Linked DNA regions of Caenorhabditis elegans. The protein of the gene in region 3 interacts with the protein of the main gene of each other region in a pairwise test. Each region holds a gene or a part of one and is shown on either strand. Other genes may lie near its edges.

What was found.
Region 1: the proteins of gex-3 (region 3) and gex-2 interact in binary tests that used the Caenorhabditis elegans proteins (3 or more experiments, as listed by UniProt).
Region 2: the proteins of gex-3 (region 3) and tmem-132 interact in a two-hybrid assay, tested with the Caenorhabditis elegans proteins (one study listed by BioGRID).

What each region holds. Positions count from the first base shown.
Region 1 is NC_003282.8:571,170-575,880, forward strand, and holds the start of gex-2 (Cytoplasmic FMR1-interacting protein homolog), read left to right. Parts: upstream 1-1,599; 5' UTR 1,600-1,606; coding exon 1,607-1,651; intron 1,652-1,698; coding exon 1,699-1,769; intron 1,770-1,818; coding exon 1,819-1,909; intron 1,910-1,964; coding exon 1,965-2,144; intron 2,145-4,711. UniProt on the Caenorhabditis elegans protein: Required for initial steps of body morphogenesis. May play a role in egg laying and yolk protein clatherin-mediated endocytosis by oocytes during oogenesis.
Region 2 is NC_003281.10:2,713,480-2,718,317, reverse strand, and holds the start of tmem-132 (Transmembrane protein 132 homolog), read left to right. Parts: upstream 1-1,703; 5' UTR 1,704-2,040; coding exon 2,041-2,077; intron 2,078-3,191; coding exon 3,192-3,295; intron 3,296-3,364; coding exon 3,365-3,499; intron 3,500-3,738; coding exon 3,739-3,844; intron 3,845-4,436; coding exon 4,437-4,674; intron 4,675-4,721; coding exon 4,722-4,832; intron 4,833-4,838.
Region 3 is NC_003282.8:12,402,786-12,409,321, forward strand, and holds gex-3 (Membrane-associated protein gex-3), read left to right. Parts: upstream 1-1,645; 5' UTR 1,646-1,649; coding exon 1,650-1,761; intron 1,762-1,811; coding exon 1,812-1,912; intron 1,913-1,958; coding exon 1,959-2,108; intron 2,109-2,178; coding exon 2,179-2,550; intron 2,551-2,599; coding exon 2,600-2,648; intron 2,649-2,704; coding exon 2,705-2,918; intron 2,919-2,970; coding exon 2,971-3,280; intron 3,281-3,330; coding exon 3,331-4,072; intron 4,073-4,130; coding exon 4,131-4,355; intron 4,356-4,406; coding exon 4,407-5,228; intron 5,229-5,277; coding exon 5,278-5,390; intron 5,391-5,439; coding exon 5,440-5,655; 3' UTR 5,656-5,905; downstream 5,906-6,536. Other genes in the region: dsb-1 (Double-Strand Break factor), read left to right, coding at 6,150-6,227, 6,273-6,391, 6,441-6,536. UniProt on the Caenorhabditis elegans protein: Rac effector required for tissue morphogenesis, cell migrations and egg laying. May play a role in egg laying and in yolk protein clatherin-mediated endocytosis by oocytes during oogenesis.

The DNA.
Region 1 (4,711 bases), about 12 Mb from region 3:
CGACGTCGTAACAAAATTTAAGACCACTTTAACGTATTTTCCTAGTGATTATTTTACTGGGGACCGTGTTAAATATTTTTAGTCTAATTTTTACCCTAACACTTACTATGAGCAGTTCAAATTGTAGCCAGATGTCTATTTAACAAATCTGCATAGTTTCAGAAAACAGCTAGTTTTCAACTGGCAGATATTACCTAGAACACGTTCCATATTTTAAGTCATTATTTGTAAAAACAGTTCAGTGAATAACGTCCAGTTGGTAGGCTGTGTTGCAAATTCTGTCAACTTCATAATTTTGAGAAAATTAATTTTAAAAAACTAAAAAAAACAAAGCTAAAACGTTTTAAAAATGTCACGTTTCACGCTAAGGAACATGTTTTCTCGAATTTACGTTAGAAAATCCACATTTAGAAAAACACGTAAAAATTTTTTTTCATTTCACAGTCACTCAGTCAAGCGGACAACAAGGATCTGGAGCCGGAAAACAGACGATAAGTAGGCAGGTAGGTAAGTAGGTATGCTAGGGCTATTATACAACAAAATGGAAATAGTATTAGATGGAAACAATGTTTGCGTTTGAACACTAAATCTATTGGAAAAAGAAAATAATAATGGATAATTTTTGAAGTGACAGAGCATTGGTAAGACGTGCACGAAAACAAAATTGATAATGACCAGATTGGATTTACCAACTTATTAGATAGGGGAAAAGAATCCCTAGTAAAAATTCACTAGGAAAGACGTTAAAGTAGTCTTGGATTTTGTTGCGACGTCGATCGTAAAAAATTTTGATCTACACTTATTGATCTGGCCGCGTAAAGTCGTATTTGTGCCATTCTCGCTTGAAAGGCTGTGAAAGGCAAGAATTCAACCTTTTTCAACCTTTATTGGCATTTTGTATTTTCCCCATTTTGCCCCTCTACGATCATAAAATAACGTTTTTGTCTAGACCAATGGTATAGTAGTAGCATATTCACACGACGTTAAACGGAATAGAGTTTGTGGGTGTTTCACTTAAATAGATTGAAAAAATGGTCCAAAACATAATTAATGTGACTTCTCAAAAACTTCCAAAAATGTTCTAGAGCTTAGAAATTTTTGAGAAGCCTCATTATGAAATTCGGTGGTTTTAATTCAGTTTTAGTCTTTTGAGCAAAATATCTACAAATTCTGTTCTTTTTTTAAAGTAGTCTTGGACTTTGAAACGAGACCTCTGTTAAAATAGATTTCAAAATCGATTTTTGGTGAGCCCATTCAGCATAAATGCGCCCTCATTTAAAGTCGTAGTAGTAAAATAAATACGTGTATAAAAGTATAAAAGCATAAATAAATCTTAAAATTATTCGGAATTTCAGCTAAATTCCCAATCATTAGTTTGAGTTTAGCTTTACTTTTACTTCTAGACACATAACTAGCATGATTTTTTCTTTCCTTGTTTTAGTGACATCGCGGGCACTCCTCGAAACTAGGTCCGCAGAGTGAGCGTCGGTGTTTGCGGACACAGTCACCCTCTCTCCCACCTCTACACACTCACACCTTTGATTCATTCAAACAGTGCCCCCTCCCCCCGTGAGCAATCGTTTTAATGATATTTTGCAGCTGAAAAATGAACGCAAACGTAACTGTCGACGATGCCATAAGCAATGTGAATGTGAGTTTTTAAAATAAAAAAAAGCAAACATACCAGATGTTTTGCAGCTTCTCGACACCCTCGCCATACCCGATGATTTACCCGATATTGAGGCGAGAGCTCTTCCCTTGCTCTATAGGTTTGTAGCGAAACTGAAAGAAGAAAACAAATTCAAAAATTATTTTCAGATCAAACTTCGACACAAACTTCGAAGATCGTAGTGCATTTGTGACGGGAATTGCCAAGTACAGTGAGGAAGCCACCAGGCATGCACAATTTGTGAGTTAATCGATAAAGTGTGGACAGGAAATTAGTCAACAGAAAATTATTACAGAATGACATGCTTTCTGAAGGATTGCAACATGCTGCAAATATGTACACTTGGAGATGTTGTTCGAGAGCAGTTCCAATGGCAAAGTCGAATGATCAGCCGAATCGAACGGAAATCAATGAGATGGTTGTGGAAGTTTTGAAGCCAGAAGTCAGCAAGCTCGGCAGTTTTATGCGATTTACGGTAGGTTAAATTAATTCCAAATTTGGAGTTTAAAATGACAAAAAATAATCGAAAATATTGAAACTTCAGACATTTTCGCATATGAAATTTGAAATTTATTTACCAAGCATTTTTACACAAAAAAAAAAGTTGGAAAATATGATTATTTCATACATTTCACCTGGACAGTTCGGAACTTCATTTATAGGAAATTTGAAATTCCAAGCATTTTTACACGAAAAATTAAATAATTTTACCAATTTTCAACTGAAAACTTCCATATAGGCAGACTTTTTTATACCGAAAATTGGTAAATACTTTTTTACCATAGTAGATAGTTTTTATTTTTACTATAACAACCAATTCCTGAAAAAGTTTTTAAAAAATCCTGGCTAAAAAACTTTTAAAAAGTATATTTTAATAACGATCTTCAATATATATATCAAAGTTTTGGCAAAATGCCAAAATAATATTTTGAAAGTGTCTCACATTTTTGAGTAGAAACATAATTAGAATATAGAATATTTGACCGTTTTCCAAAAACATTATCTTTAATTAGAAAGTATTTTCGAACTATTTTGACCTTCCGAAGTGTTATATCCAGAACAGGGCTGGGACTTTTTCGTTTTCGCGTTTTCGTTTTTTCGTTATTTTCGGGGTTTTGACGAAAATGTTCGAAAAACGAAAATAAAACGACTTTATTTAATTCTGGTATTTTTTCCACTTTCTTTCGAACTTTCGCCGAAATTTTGCTCTCCGGTGTGGATAGTATTGAAAAATCAATTATTTTCTTCTAAGACTCAGTACTGAAGATTAACTTTAAAAACAAAAAAGGCAACAGTTTTCAGTTTTGGATAACAATTAAAATACTCTTTTGCGTAACAATAGATTCATTCATTTTAAGACAGGACGTTTCTTTGTTTTGAGCTCCAATGTTGGGCTATCTTATTGAATGCACCGAATTTGGCTAAAAATTCATTCAAGCAACAAGTAAAACATATTTCCACAGTATCTAATAAATTTTTGATGATTTTTGAAAAATTAAAGCTTGTTGTTTCTTCAATTCAAAAGTTCAAAACACAATTTCAGATGAAAAATAGAGTTACAGTAGAATCCTTATGTTCGAAAAGGGCTTCAAGTTCTATGGCCTATAAGCACTAATAGAGAATATACGGTAGTTTGTGAAAAGTTTTCGAATAAAAATTTTGAAAAATACGAGCTTTTGAGAAAATTTAAAGAAATGTCGCATATTTCGACCCCTACGAATTTAAACAAAATTAAAACATAAAAAATGTCGAAAAAGAAATTTTTTTGGTCGACTTCCAAAACAGGGGTGTGCGGCAAATCTCAAAATTTGCCGAGCTCGGCAAATTCGGCAAATTCGGCAAATTTGCCGAGCTCGGCAAACGGCAAATTCGGCAAATTTGCCGAGCTCGGCAAACGGCAAATTCGGCAAATTGGCCGAGCTCGGCAAACGGCAAATTCGGCAAATTTGGCAAATTTGCCGAGCTCGGCAAACGGCAAATTCGGCAAATTTGCCGAGCTCGGCAAACGGCAAATTCGGCAAATTCGGCAAATTTGCCGAGCTCGGCAAACGGCAAATTCGGCAAATTCGGCAAATTTGCTGCACACCCCTGTTCCAAAATTATGAGTGGCAAAAACTGAGTAATTGCCACTTTTTGACAGTAAATAAAAATTGTTCAAAAAATTTTTGAAAAGTTTTATCATGATATTTGGTCATTATGGGACTAAAGGAGTGGGTTTTAACAATTTACCCACTGGCACTACTCCACCTTTAATGAGCAAAGTACGTCAATGAGAGAGAGGTAAATGAGTACTTGCCACCAAAAAAGCTTTCGAGGCAACATATGGCCTAAAAACTGTAAGTCCAGTTGTAGATTTGAAACAGTGCTATTTTCGTGTTCGTTTTTGTTTTCGTGTTTTAAAACGAACATTTTCGTTTTCGGTTTCGAAAATGAGATTTCGAAAAAGTCCCAGCCCTGATCCAGAAGCCTCTTTTTACAACCACATTTGCCAATTTGAGATGCAATCGCCTAGTTACAGTGGTGACCGAAATAAAATATGCGTTTTATAACTCACAAACTAGGAACTTTGAAAAGAAAATTTCAAATAACAAACTGGTGCCTAAAATGTCTTCTACATGCTGAAAATGTTTCATGATCCAAAAATATTGAAGGACAAAAGATACAGCGGCCAACACGTCGCAGGTTCATTTTTGGCCTTTTCACTTGAAACGCCTATAACTCAAGAATGATGAGTTTTCATGAAGAAGCTTTGGTGGTGAAATAGTTTGCAACTCATTTTCTATTGAATTTATTTTTTTTAAACCAGCAACATAGAGCTGAAAATTAACGCATACGTTTTTCAACCCACTGCTTACTCGGCTTTTTGAAAATCTGGTCATATTGCACAAAACAATATTTGAGCATATATTTTTAATAACGAATGTTGTAGTTACATTTTGTTTAGATTTGAACTGAAAAACTGATTTTAAAAAAATTTAATCACCATTTTTAAAACGTTTCTCATGAAAACTTTTCATTTTGAGGTACAGATGTTTCGAGAAA
Region 2 (4,838 bases), on a different chromosome or scaffold from region 3:
TTTTTACTGATTTTCTCTTGATTTTCGACTTTTTTTTGTAATTTTTTCCACTCCAATTATCGCCTACTAAACTGTTCTATAAATTGTATATTTCTCATCAAAACCAATTTTTCAGCGAGAATCAATTTTTAAATCGCAATTATAAAAATTTTCGATTTTTTCCCAAAAAATTTTAGATTACAAAAATCGAAAACAAAAACAATTTTTATCTAATTTTATTCAGATTTATGACAAAAAAGAAAACATGAGTTTTTCTTCTAAAAATTAGGAAAATGAGCAAAAAATTAGGATATTTTTTCGAAAAATCAAATTTTTTTCGATTTTTTGAAAAATCGGACAAAAAATGTTTAGAATCAAATTTTGTTTATTACGGGAATACTATATTCTGAGATTCCGTATTAGGCAATAAATTTGACTCAAATTCGGTTTTTTTTCCTAGTCTTTCCTAGCTCAATTTCGAGGATTTTGGGTTACTGTAGCTCCAAAAATACGCGAATACCGATTAGACACTGAATCTTACGACAAATTGCGGAGTTTGCTCAAATTTCGAGTTTAGCATTCAATTTTTGATTGAAATGCGTTTTTTCTAGTTTTTCACTCAATTTTAAAATAATCCGGGTTACTGTAGCTCCAGAAGTACGCACACACCGATTAGGCACCAAATCTTACGCCAATTTGCAGAAAATCTGAGAAAATTGAAATTTTGTGGTCAATAAAAACGTTCTGAATATTGAAGAATTGGAGTTTCTAGCTTAATTTTGAGGTTTTTGGGTTACTGCACGGCCCGGCAAGTGGTACATCCATGCAAATGCGCTCTACTGATAATTTGAGTGTAGACCAGGTTTGGGCGCGTGATAACGAAAAAAGCTTTGGTCCAAAAAATTTAGAATTTAATTTCGGACATTTTTTATATGCATCACAAAAAAACTGGACCAACCGTTTTTGAGATACACGCGCCCAGGTATACGGTAGACAAATTGCGTACAGGTACCACTTCTCGGGCCGTGTACTGTAGCTCCAGAAATATTACGGGAACAATAAATCATGAGAATGCGTACTTGGTGCATTTTATTTGGCGCGCGATATCTCTTAGAGAAAACTACAGTAAGAACTCAAATAACAATAGATATTTAAGCTCTTACTGTAGTTTTCGCTAAGAGATATATCTCATGATTTATTGTTCCCGTAATACGCAAATTGCGGAGTTTGTTCAAATTTTGAGTTCAGCATTCAATTTTTAAACGAAATGCGGATTTTTATAGTCAAAGCTCAACTTTAAGGCAAAATATCTCGTAGCGAAAACTACAGTAATTGTTTAATTACTACTGTAGTGCTGGTGTCGATTTACGGGCCCGATTTTTGAAACTGCTGTTCGAATATTCGATTTTCTTAGTTTTCTTTTAATATTGCAATAATTAATCAATAATTTTCGTAAATCGACATAAGCGCTACAGTAGTCATTTAAACGATTACTGTAGTTTTCGCTACGAGATATTTTGCGCGTCAAATATGTTGTGCAATACGTATTCTCGGAGTTTAGTCTTCCCAGGCATAAGAAAATATACAATTTTCTTCTACAAAGAAGAAAAATGGCTATTTTTCGGAAAATCGATTTTTTTTTCAAATTATCGAAAAAAATTAGGTTTTTCCAAAAAAATCGAGACCCTTATTCTCGCCCCTAAAAAAACCTAGCATTTTTTCAGCTCAATTGCAGTAAAACCCTCATGCATATGTAGTCGAGTAGCAGCAACAGCAGCTGTGACCAGCCAAAAGAAGAAAACGAAGCGGATGCAGAAGTAGTCGTCGTTTTGATCTCTGCGTCTCTCTCTGCAATTCTATCTCTCTCTCTGCTCCGGCGGGCCGCCGCGGCGTCGTCGTCCTCGTCTTTTTTGCCGATTTGCTCTTTTTTTCGTCGTAGTCGTCACTTAGGCTCTGCTCGTTTTGAGCCGCCTATATTTATTTTCTATTTTTATTTGAACAACAGACTACTATGTGATAAAAGAGATATGATATCATTTTATCAATTTCCATGAAGAGAAAATGCTGAAAAAGCTTTGGATTTGTATCTCCTGCATTGGTTAGTTTGGAGTTTTCACCCCTGGAAATAATTGGCTTCATTTAAAAAAAAATTAGCTGAATAATTATTTTTTTAAAAGGAAAATTAGGCTAACTCTGAAAATAAGTAAATTCATATTATAATTGTAAATTCAAAAAAGTACAGTAATATTCAATGAGTCTCGCCACGAAGAGTTAGATTTTTAGAAAATATGAATGTGCGTTTAATTTTACCATTTTAGGAAAAAAAACACAAGTTTTTAAAAAATTAAAAATAGAATAAAATTGGAATATATACAGTAAATTGAAAAAGTTTTTGAAATTTTGTTTGCGCGGTGAGACCAAAGAATTCATAAATTTTTGATTTTTTTTGAATAAAAGTCGAAAAGCCAAAAATTTCAGATTTTTCAGCAAATTTTGATAATAATTTTTTCTGAAAAACCTGATTTTTCAGAAAAAAAATTTTAAACTAAATTTTTTCAATACGCGGTCATGAAAATATAAAACTAGGCCCATGTTTCAGACATAATCACGTGGTATCAGAGTGTCTCATTTCTGCTTGATCTACAAAAAATGCGGGAGAAGAGACGTAGAGTTCTCCACTGATTTCGCATGGTTAAGAACGTGCTGACGTCACATATTTTTGGGCAAAAAATACCCGCATTTTTTGTAGATCAAACCGCAATGGGATAGCCTGACACCACGCGAATAATGATAAAATCCTGAAAAAAAAGAGAAAAAGAAATACGAAACCGAAAAGTGCATTTGACACTTTTTTCCGATGCGCCATGTCTTGCTCATCTTTGACGGCTCATATCTCGGTTGCCTTTTGGTTTTATTTAAAAAATTTCCACTGGAAAAATAATTTTTATTGCTTTTTCTACAGTTTTGCATTAAAAAATAATTTGATATCATCAAAACTCACAGATTTACGAGCAGCCAAAGTTGTCCTCATTCCCAGACATGGTGCATCAGACTGATTTAACTTTGACAGCTCATATCTCGGTTGTCTTTATTTTTATCAAAAGATTGTCAACTAACAAAAAGTGTAGTATATTTTTTTCTACAGATTTGTAGTTGAAAGTTTTTTGATATCTTCAAAACTCACAGAGATATAAAGCTTCGAAAAATTACAGTCACTACTGCTCTCTCGGACCACATCACATTCTCCCCGCCCGATGAAGCATTCGTATTATTTCACAGTCATCAAAACACAAATTTTACATCTGTATTTGTTCAGGTAAGAGTTTGCTCAGAAGGCAGGCCTGTAAGCAGGCAGGTAGGCCTTCATTAAACCTCTAACTTTCAGGATGGTTGTCCGAATAGTCGAAATCTCATGGCGACCGTTTACTCTGCAGATTTGTCATCTTCAAGACGGGTTTTTGAAGAAATCCCGTTGCATTGTGCGGTCAGAGTCAGGATTATTACGGAGAAAGTTGTCGTGGTAAGGGAAAATATTTTCTGGGAGTTTTTCAGAAAGTTCTAGGCATTTCTAGAAATCTTCAAAAATTCAATAAAGTTTTCCAAAAAAAAAATTTCGAATTGTACTGAAATTTCTTGAATTATTTTTTGAACGTTATAGAATTTCCAAAAACTTTTCCGAAATTGTTTTAAAATTTTCCAGGTTTTTCCAGAAATTTGTCAGAGACATCAGCTTCAAAGTGCAAAATATCAATTTTCCAGACGAGACCCTATGTTGATTTACTGGCAGTTGTAGACGAGTCACTTTCTCGTCATGTCGGAGCAATTTGTGTGCATGCTCAACTAACTTCATCAACTTCTGCAATCGGTGAGCTCATGTCAAGTTCAGTCGGACTAAAAACGCAACTAGTTATGGGAAAATTGGAAATAATTAGTTTTTTTGCGTCTTGTCGGTGTTTCAAAGATCAAAAAAAAAATTGCGCGTAATACAAGTATGGTGCATTAATTTTCGAGAAATTTAAATTTAAATTGCGCGCCAAATTAGAATTTTAACTTCGCGCCAAAAAAAAATAAATTTGACGCCAACATTTAGAAAAAAACATTTAAATTCGAATTTCGCCCCAAAATTTGGAAAAAAACTGAAAAATTCAAACTTCGCGCCAAAAATTAGAAAAAATATAAAAAAATTTTAATTTCGCGCCAAACGTTGAAAAAATCTGAAAATTTCAAATTTCGTCCCAAGTTTTTAAAAATTTTTGAAAGAATTTCGAACTGTGGCAAAAAATTTGAAAAAATCAGAAAAATTCGAATTCCTCGCCAAAATTTGAAAGAAAAGTACTAAAAATTGAATTTTGTCCCAAATTTTCTAAAATCCCCCAAGGGGACCTACGCAGCCTTCTCAATAGGCAGGCAGGTAGGCAGGTAAGCATAACAAATAATCCCTACTATAATTTTTCCAGAGCTCGGAAAATGCTACCTAAACCGTCACGAAGATCAAAAATCGAGCTGCGTTATCCGAATCCCCGTACCATTTTCATGGTTCCCAGTGGATCAGAATCGAACAAGTGTGCTCTCAGTCTCCTATACTGTATCCGAAAAATGTGATCAAAACTTCCATGATCTACCACAACATTTGATTGAAGTCAACTCCCGAATCGCCAAACAGAAAATCGATTGGCTCGCCAACGCTACAGAAACGTCTGGAATTCTCTAGAATTTTTTAAAAAAGTAATTCAAATTTTCAGATCAGTAACACTACTATCTACGGCGAGCCAGGCGTTTTCTCAAAATTCAATGCAAACATTGTTTCTTCACGTCAAAAGTTGGGCAAATGAAACACAGCCAATGGAAATTAGGTGACA
Region 3 (6,536 bases):
GTTTCAAAAAGTATGGAATTTTTGAGTTTATTTTAGGTATCTATTCTGTGTTCGTAGACTATGTAGAAGTAAAGTACGAGAAAATGCAATGTAAAATTTCAAAAGAGCCAAGATATGGGCGGAGCCTAATTTGGAAAATCAGTGCAGCATTGTCAAAGTTTATGCTATTAAATACTTAAATCAAAAACTTTGAATTTTAATTTAAAATCACCAACTTGAGTCTTGTCACGATCGAAACATTTCAACTAACGAAACAATCAAAGAGGTACGGTAGTTGAAAAATTCCGCGCGTGCCAGGACCCGATAGAAACTGTTCGATCGGTATTACGCAATGTGTGTAAAACGATTCAAAAGAACAGAAAATAATTGTATTACAGAGAACGGAAGAGATAAAAGTTGTATAGACATATGGAAACTAGAAACACGTTTGACACAGTGAATAGATTGAATGAGGCGAGCTGTAGAAGATGGAGAAGCTGTATGAATGCGATGACTTCGCACCTTTTCTGACAGATTTAAGATGAAGATAGTTGTTTTTTTTGCAAGTTAAATGAAACGAACAAGTGAAAACTTTGAATCCAAAAAGTTTCATAAAAAGATATGAAATGAAGAAAAATGTGTAGAAGTAACAAAAGTGAGTGGAAGTATTCAACGAAAAGCGATGGAAACATTTGAATGAAAGGAAGGCCTCCCGGGAAAGAGGGAGAGAAAGAGAGGCTAACCATCCGTCCGGCCTTTCGTCAAACCCGTTTCTCTCTTTCACAGTTTCCCGATCCTTGCTGGTCTCATGCTTCTTCTTCTTCTCCTCCATCTACAGCCATTTCGGTGTTGTTCGCTATTGTAAACGATGTGAGAATTTCTTCGGACTATCAGAGAGAGAGAGATAGAGAGAGAGAGAGGGAGAGAGACCAGCTATCTATAGCATTTGACCTGATAAGAAAGCCGATTCGAATCGACGGTGGAAAGGTTTGATGAACTAAGCTGCCACGGAGGGACGAAGAGATATAAATTGGAAATATTTGGAAATATCAAATGAAATATTTCGTAATTGGATGTGAAACTGTCTGTCTGTATTTAGGGATTTACAAGGAATTTTTGTTCTTCTCACTAAACAATCACTATACATAAAGTGGGGAAATAATTTGGAAAAATATGATTTTTAAGAAAAGTCGACACAAAAGTTCACAAAAAGCTTGAAAGTTCATAAAAGCAACATATTTGGTGAATAGTTCTTCAGTTTGATTTTATGTTTTTTTTTTCCAAACATTCCAAATATTTTTTTTTGTTCGTTTTTCCAGTTCTTGAACCTCGTCAGTGCCATTCACGGTGATCTAGATCATATTCTGCGGTGACAAATTGCAATAAAACAAGAAGTTTATTCCCCATTAAATAAACTTCTTTTGTAAAAACCTGAAAATCTGTCTGAAAATAGCTTTTTTAAATATTTTCGTGGTCTAGATTTTTCGTGGTCTACATTTTTTATAACGGTCTCCCTCTCTCGTTCAAACTGCCGCCAACAAAAGAGCGCAATAGAGCATGCTTGCACAGCCGTGGTGAGAGACACCTCTTGTTTAATTGAATGCGCCTTTAAACTGTAATCCAATTTGTGACTCATTTCCCCTTCAATTTTCTCTCCAATTTTCAGCAAAATGGCTTACAAAGATGCCAGACAGGTGAAAATTGCTGAAAAACTTGTGATACTGAATGATCGTGCTGCTGGAATGATGACACGGATATACAATATTAAGAAATCAAGCGGCGGTGAGTAGTCTTTGAAAATTTCTGTTGTTATAAAATGCTGAAGATTTCAGATTCAAAAGTGAAACCACAATTTCTTAGCGACAAGAAGATGGAAGGTGCAATCAAACATATAGTTAGAAAGTTTCCTGTTGTTGATTGCAGATCGAATTCAGTGAGTAGTTCAAATTGTTGATTTCTCATGCCGAAATTAATTTCAGTCGACGTTCGAATATGTACAAGAAAAGTCCACGGAAATTACAAAATCTTTATCGCTATATTACTACACATTTGCTGATATTCTTGATTTAAAAGATCACATTATGCAAGTTTTGACAACTATGGAATCATGTCAATGTCAGCTGGATGTGGTGAGTATATTATTGATTTTAAATATTTATATCGTTCGTATAATGTTTAAGCTAAAATTTTATTTTTTAGACGCTCAATTACGACCTGACAACGAGTTATTTGAATCTTGTTGTACATCTCGTCACAATGATGATTCTTTTATCAAGAATTGAAGACCGGAAAGCTGTTCTTGGACTTTTTAATGCGGCATATGATCTACAACACGGACAAAGTGAAGCATCATTTCCAAGATTAGGACAAATGATTCTTGATTATGAAAATCCGTTAAAAAAGCTTCATGAAGATCTCGGACCACTGAACAGGCTAATTTATTCAGCTCTTTCTTCTGTTACACACACATATCAGCGCAGAAACAAGACAGCAGATTCATGGAGAACATCAAATGTTTTCTCGTTGACCGCTGCTCCAGCACAAATTTTATATGCTGCTCAAACAGAAACTGTGAGCAAGTTTTTATTTAATGGAAAATTATTTATGTAAATCGTTTCAGATTGCATGCGAATATCTATCACTCGACGTCATTGATCGATGGATTGTGTGTAAGTTAATATACAAATTAGTATTAAAATGTTTATTAAAATTGTAATATTTTCAGTCTGCGGAACAGTATGCCATTCAACTCTTCTTAACGATGACAACATTAGGCACATGTGGCAGCTGGCACTTCAAATGAATCTGTGTCTTCGCGTTTTCCGAGACGAAACATTTATTGTTCATCAAGAGATTCAAGCGTTTTTAGAATCTTCCAAAGAAAAAAGCAAACGGTTACAAGATGTTAAAGATGCGTTCAATCATGCATCTGTTACTGCGTAAGTTAAAAAATATGATAAACAAAGCGTTTTCTAATAATTTGTATTTCAGAGTTGCCGTCCACGCAGACCGTCGCCGCTTCCTTAGAAGTTCTCTTCGAGAGCTGTCACTTTTACTACGAGATCAGCCCGGACTACTTGGCCCGAAAATTCTCTATGTCTGGATGGCTCTTGGAGCAGGAAGAGATGAGGTCATATGGCTTCTACGGCATCAAGTTGAAGTTCCTGCTATCAGCAAAAAAGGCAGCAGAATGGTCGAGGAGCTTGTTGACAGGCAACTTCCAGAACTGCTATTTTATATGCTGGAATTAAGAGATCTCGTTACGAAATATTATGCAGTGATTCAAAGATACTATCTACAGGTTTTGTTAAAACTTTAAATTTATCTATTTTAAATCTTTTTTATTTTCAGTACGTGTCTAGCTATGATTCAATTGTTGTTTCTGAAGAGATTAACCAAGCAAATGGCCTCACCCAGGAAGAAGCGGTTCTTTTGACCGATTTTGCCAACGAAATAGGAAATATCAACTCTGATACGGATCTTCGTGCTCTTCGACTAGACTGGTTTAGATTTCAAGCTTGGACATCTGCTGCTCGGAGCCATTTCCAACTTTCAAGACATAAAAAACTCGCAATATACATGAATACTTCAGTTTTTCATCTGAAAATGATCGATTTGCAAGACGAGATGCTAAGGGAAACAAGTGATTTATCATTATACTGCTTCTATCCAAAACTCGCTGAAAAACATTGGCTCAACTGTCTCCAGCTACCTGCTCAAGCTCGATATGTGCTCAGTTTTGCACGTCTTGCCGCGCATTTCACAAGCGCCCTCCATGACATGTGTCCTGAAGAAAAAGCATTTATCACTGAAAAAGCCTTGGCTCAATGCAATTCTGTAATTGAAGAGACGTGCAAACAATTGTCATATATCCTGGAAAAAGTGGCTGAACATGAATTCGGATTAGCTTATCAAATGACACCGAGCGCCGTGGCTGTAAGAGTTGTTGCTCAAGTTGTTCAACAGAAAGGATCTGGAAAAGCTGCAGCGGCGGCCGCAGCAGCCGCTCGAGATTATTTCATTGCTGGAGAAGAAAGTTATCGAGTTGATCGTCAAGCATTAACAATGCCTGATAAGTTGCAAACAACTCTTCGTAAGTTTTAAAACGTTTTTTAAATTAGATTTTATATCACAAATTTCCCACTTTTCAGTTGAAATCTCTGCAGCTCTCGGAGCTCATCGTCAAATTTACGTTGCTGATCACACATTTGCACCGAGGACGTACCTAGCGCAGTCCCTTGAAACTAAATTTGTAGAATTGCTTCATGGAATGTTCTGGGAAGGTCAACCACATGCAAGTAATCCAAAAAGACCAAGTGAAATGCTCCTTGCGCTACAAGCCTACATGACGGTTCTTCAAAATCTTGATACAGCAAGTAAGTGGTTTTTAAAATAATCTATAAATATTCTCATAAATGGAATTTCAGTTTCTGTGGATATCAGTAATACAATGCAAACAACTCTTCTACAACAAACTCAACTCGTTGATTCCAAGAATAAAGACACAATCGCAGCACTCTACACGAAATGGTATCTCGAAGTTTTGCTCCGTCGTGCTTCATCTGGTCATATGGTTTGGAGTGAGCATCTACGAACAATGTTATCATCAGGACAGGAACAACTCTCGTTCATGCCCGATCATTATTCAGATCCTCAAGAATTGAGAGCATTGGTTCAAATTATCGGACCTTATGGAGTAAAGTTGATGACTGAACGGCTGATTTGGCACGTGGCCAGTCAAATTATGGAGATGAGCAAGATTGTTGCAACATACAAAGATGCTCTACAGATTGCTAGATCTAATTTCGATAATGCTGAAAAGATGAAGGATGTTTTAAATCTTTTGAGCGTCGAACCAAAGGACAAGAAAACTCCGAACGCAACATGCGCAGCTGATGCAATTCTGCAAAGAACTATTATTATCGGACAGATTTGTCTGTTTCGTGATGCTCTCCACGATGCTCTTCGTCATATCGTCGAATCTAAATTGCCATTTCTTCAAGCATCATTTGATATGCTTTATCACAATTTGGACGATGTTGATAAAGTTAAAATTGGAGAAATGTCAGCTGCGATGGGAGTCACAGGACCAGTTGATATGTCGTTGGTGAATGCGGTTCGTGCTCAAAATCCGAATATTCACCCTCAAGAACACTATGTTAATAGTTGTCTATTGATGGTTGCCGTCGCTATCTGTATTCCACGAATTGGAATGTCGGATCTTTCGTCTTACAAGCCTAGCATTCAAGGTACATACTTTTACAGCTTTTTGCAAAAATTAAAAATAAACAATTTCAGCCAGCTTGAACAATAGTCACTGTGTTCCAATGGCGATTAACACTATCGGATCAGCTCTTTTCCATCTCCACGAGCAAAATGATATCCAGTCGAGGATGAAGGAGTTCTTGGCGGTTAGCTCTATCATTATTAACACATATTCTCACCTAGAAAAATTTTCAGCTCGCGTCCTCGGGTATTCTACGAACTATTCATGAACGTGATAACAGTCGACAAATATCCGACGACGTTCTTCGTTCCCACACAACTCTCTACATTATCCTTGAACAGATGGTTCGGAAAAACCGTTGGCTGTCGATGGATGTTCTTGAAACCTGTTTCCCATATAATCTCGTCCGTACAGCCTACCAACAATGCTACGAGGCTGATGCTCAATAATTTTATCTGCGATCCCAATATGTACAGCTACGATCCCTTCTCACATACTTCCTGTGCCTGTATTTTATTTATTTTATTTTTCTTTCTTCAACGAACCATTACTATACGGGTTCCCGCTTCCGAATACCGCCTTTTTGACTATTATTCCCTGCATTTTCGTGTGAATCATTGCTCCCAAGTACTCATTTTGCCTTCCATTTGGCTTTAATTTATTGCAGTTTGTCGTCATAATAAACTTTTTATCAATTTATCAAAAATTTTTATTTTATCTATTACATAAATGCGATTAAATTTTAAGTTAAAAAAACGAGAATTAGCTAAATTAGATATGCTTGGTAATTTGAATTTGAATTCGCGCGTAAAAGTGATGGATGGGTCTCGCCACGACCGGCATGCAATTTTGAATTTTTTCACATTTTGAGGTCCAATGAGGTCGAAATTTTTAGACATTTTTAGTAAAAAAAAATTATTTATGTTTTTGCAGTCTCTTCAGTATGTTTCCTGAATTGCAGACACTCCAGTGGCCGATCATAAAGTATAAGCAATTGAGAGGAAGCGGTAATCGACAAGAGGTTTTAAAAATAGATGAATTCTGTATCGAAAAGTTAAATTTGCAGGGCAAAGATATTCGCGTTGTTATGGAGGTGAATAGCAGGAAGCTGACGGTTATTCATGGAGTCGAGCCGATCGAGACCGTTTATTGTAACATGGAAGTTTCTAGGTATCCGAGTTTGAAGTGAGTCTTTGTTGTTTGAGAAATTAAAGTCAAATTGCCCGGTTTTCAGAATGAAGAACACAAATTTGTTCGTGATTGTAAACAACCAGGCTCAAGGTTTCCGATTAACTCTTCGTGGCGAAGATCGGGAGAATTTTCTGTCAAC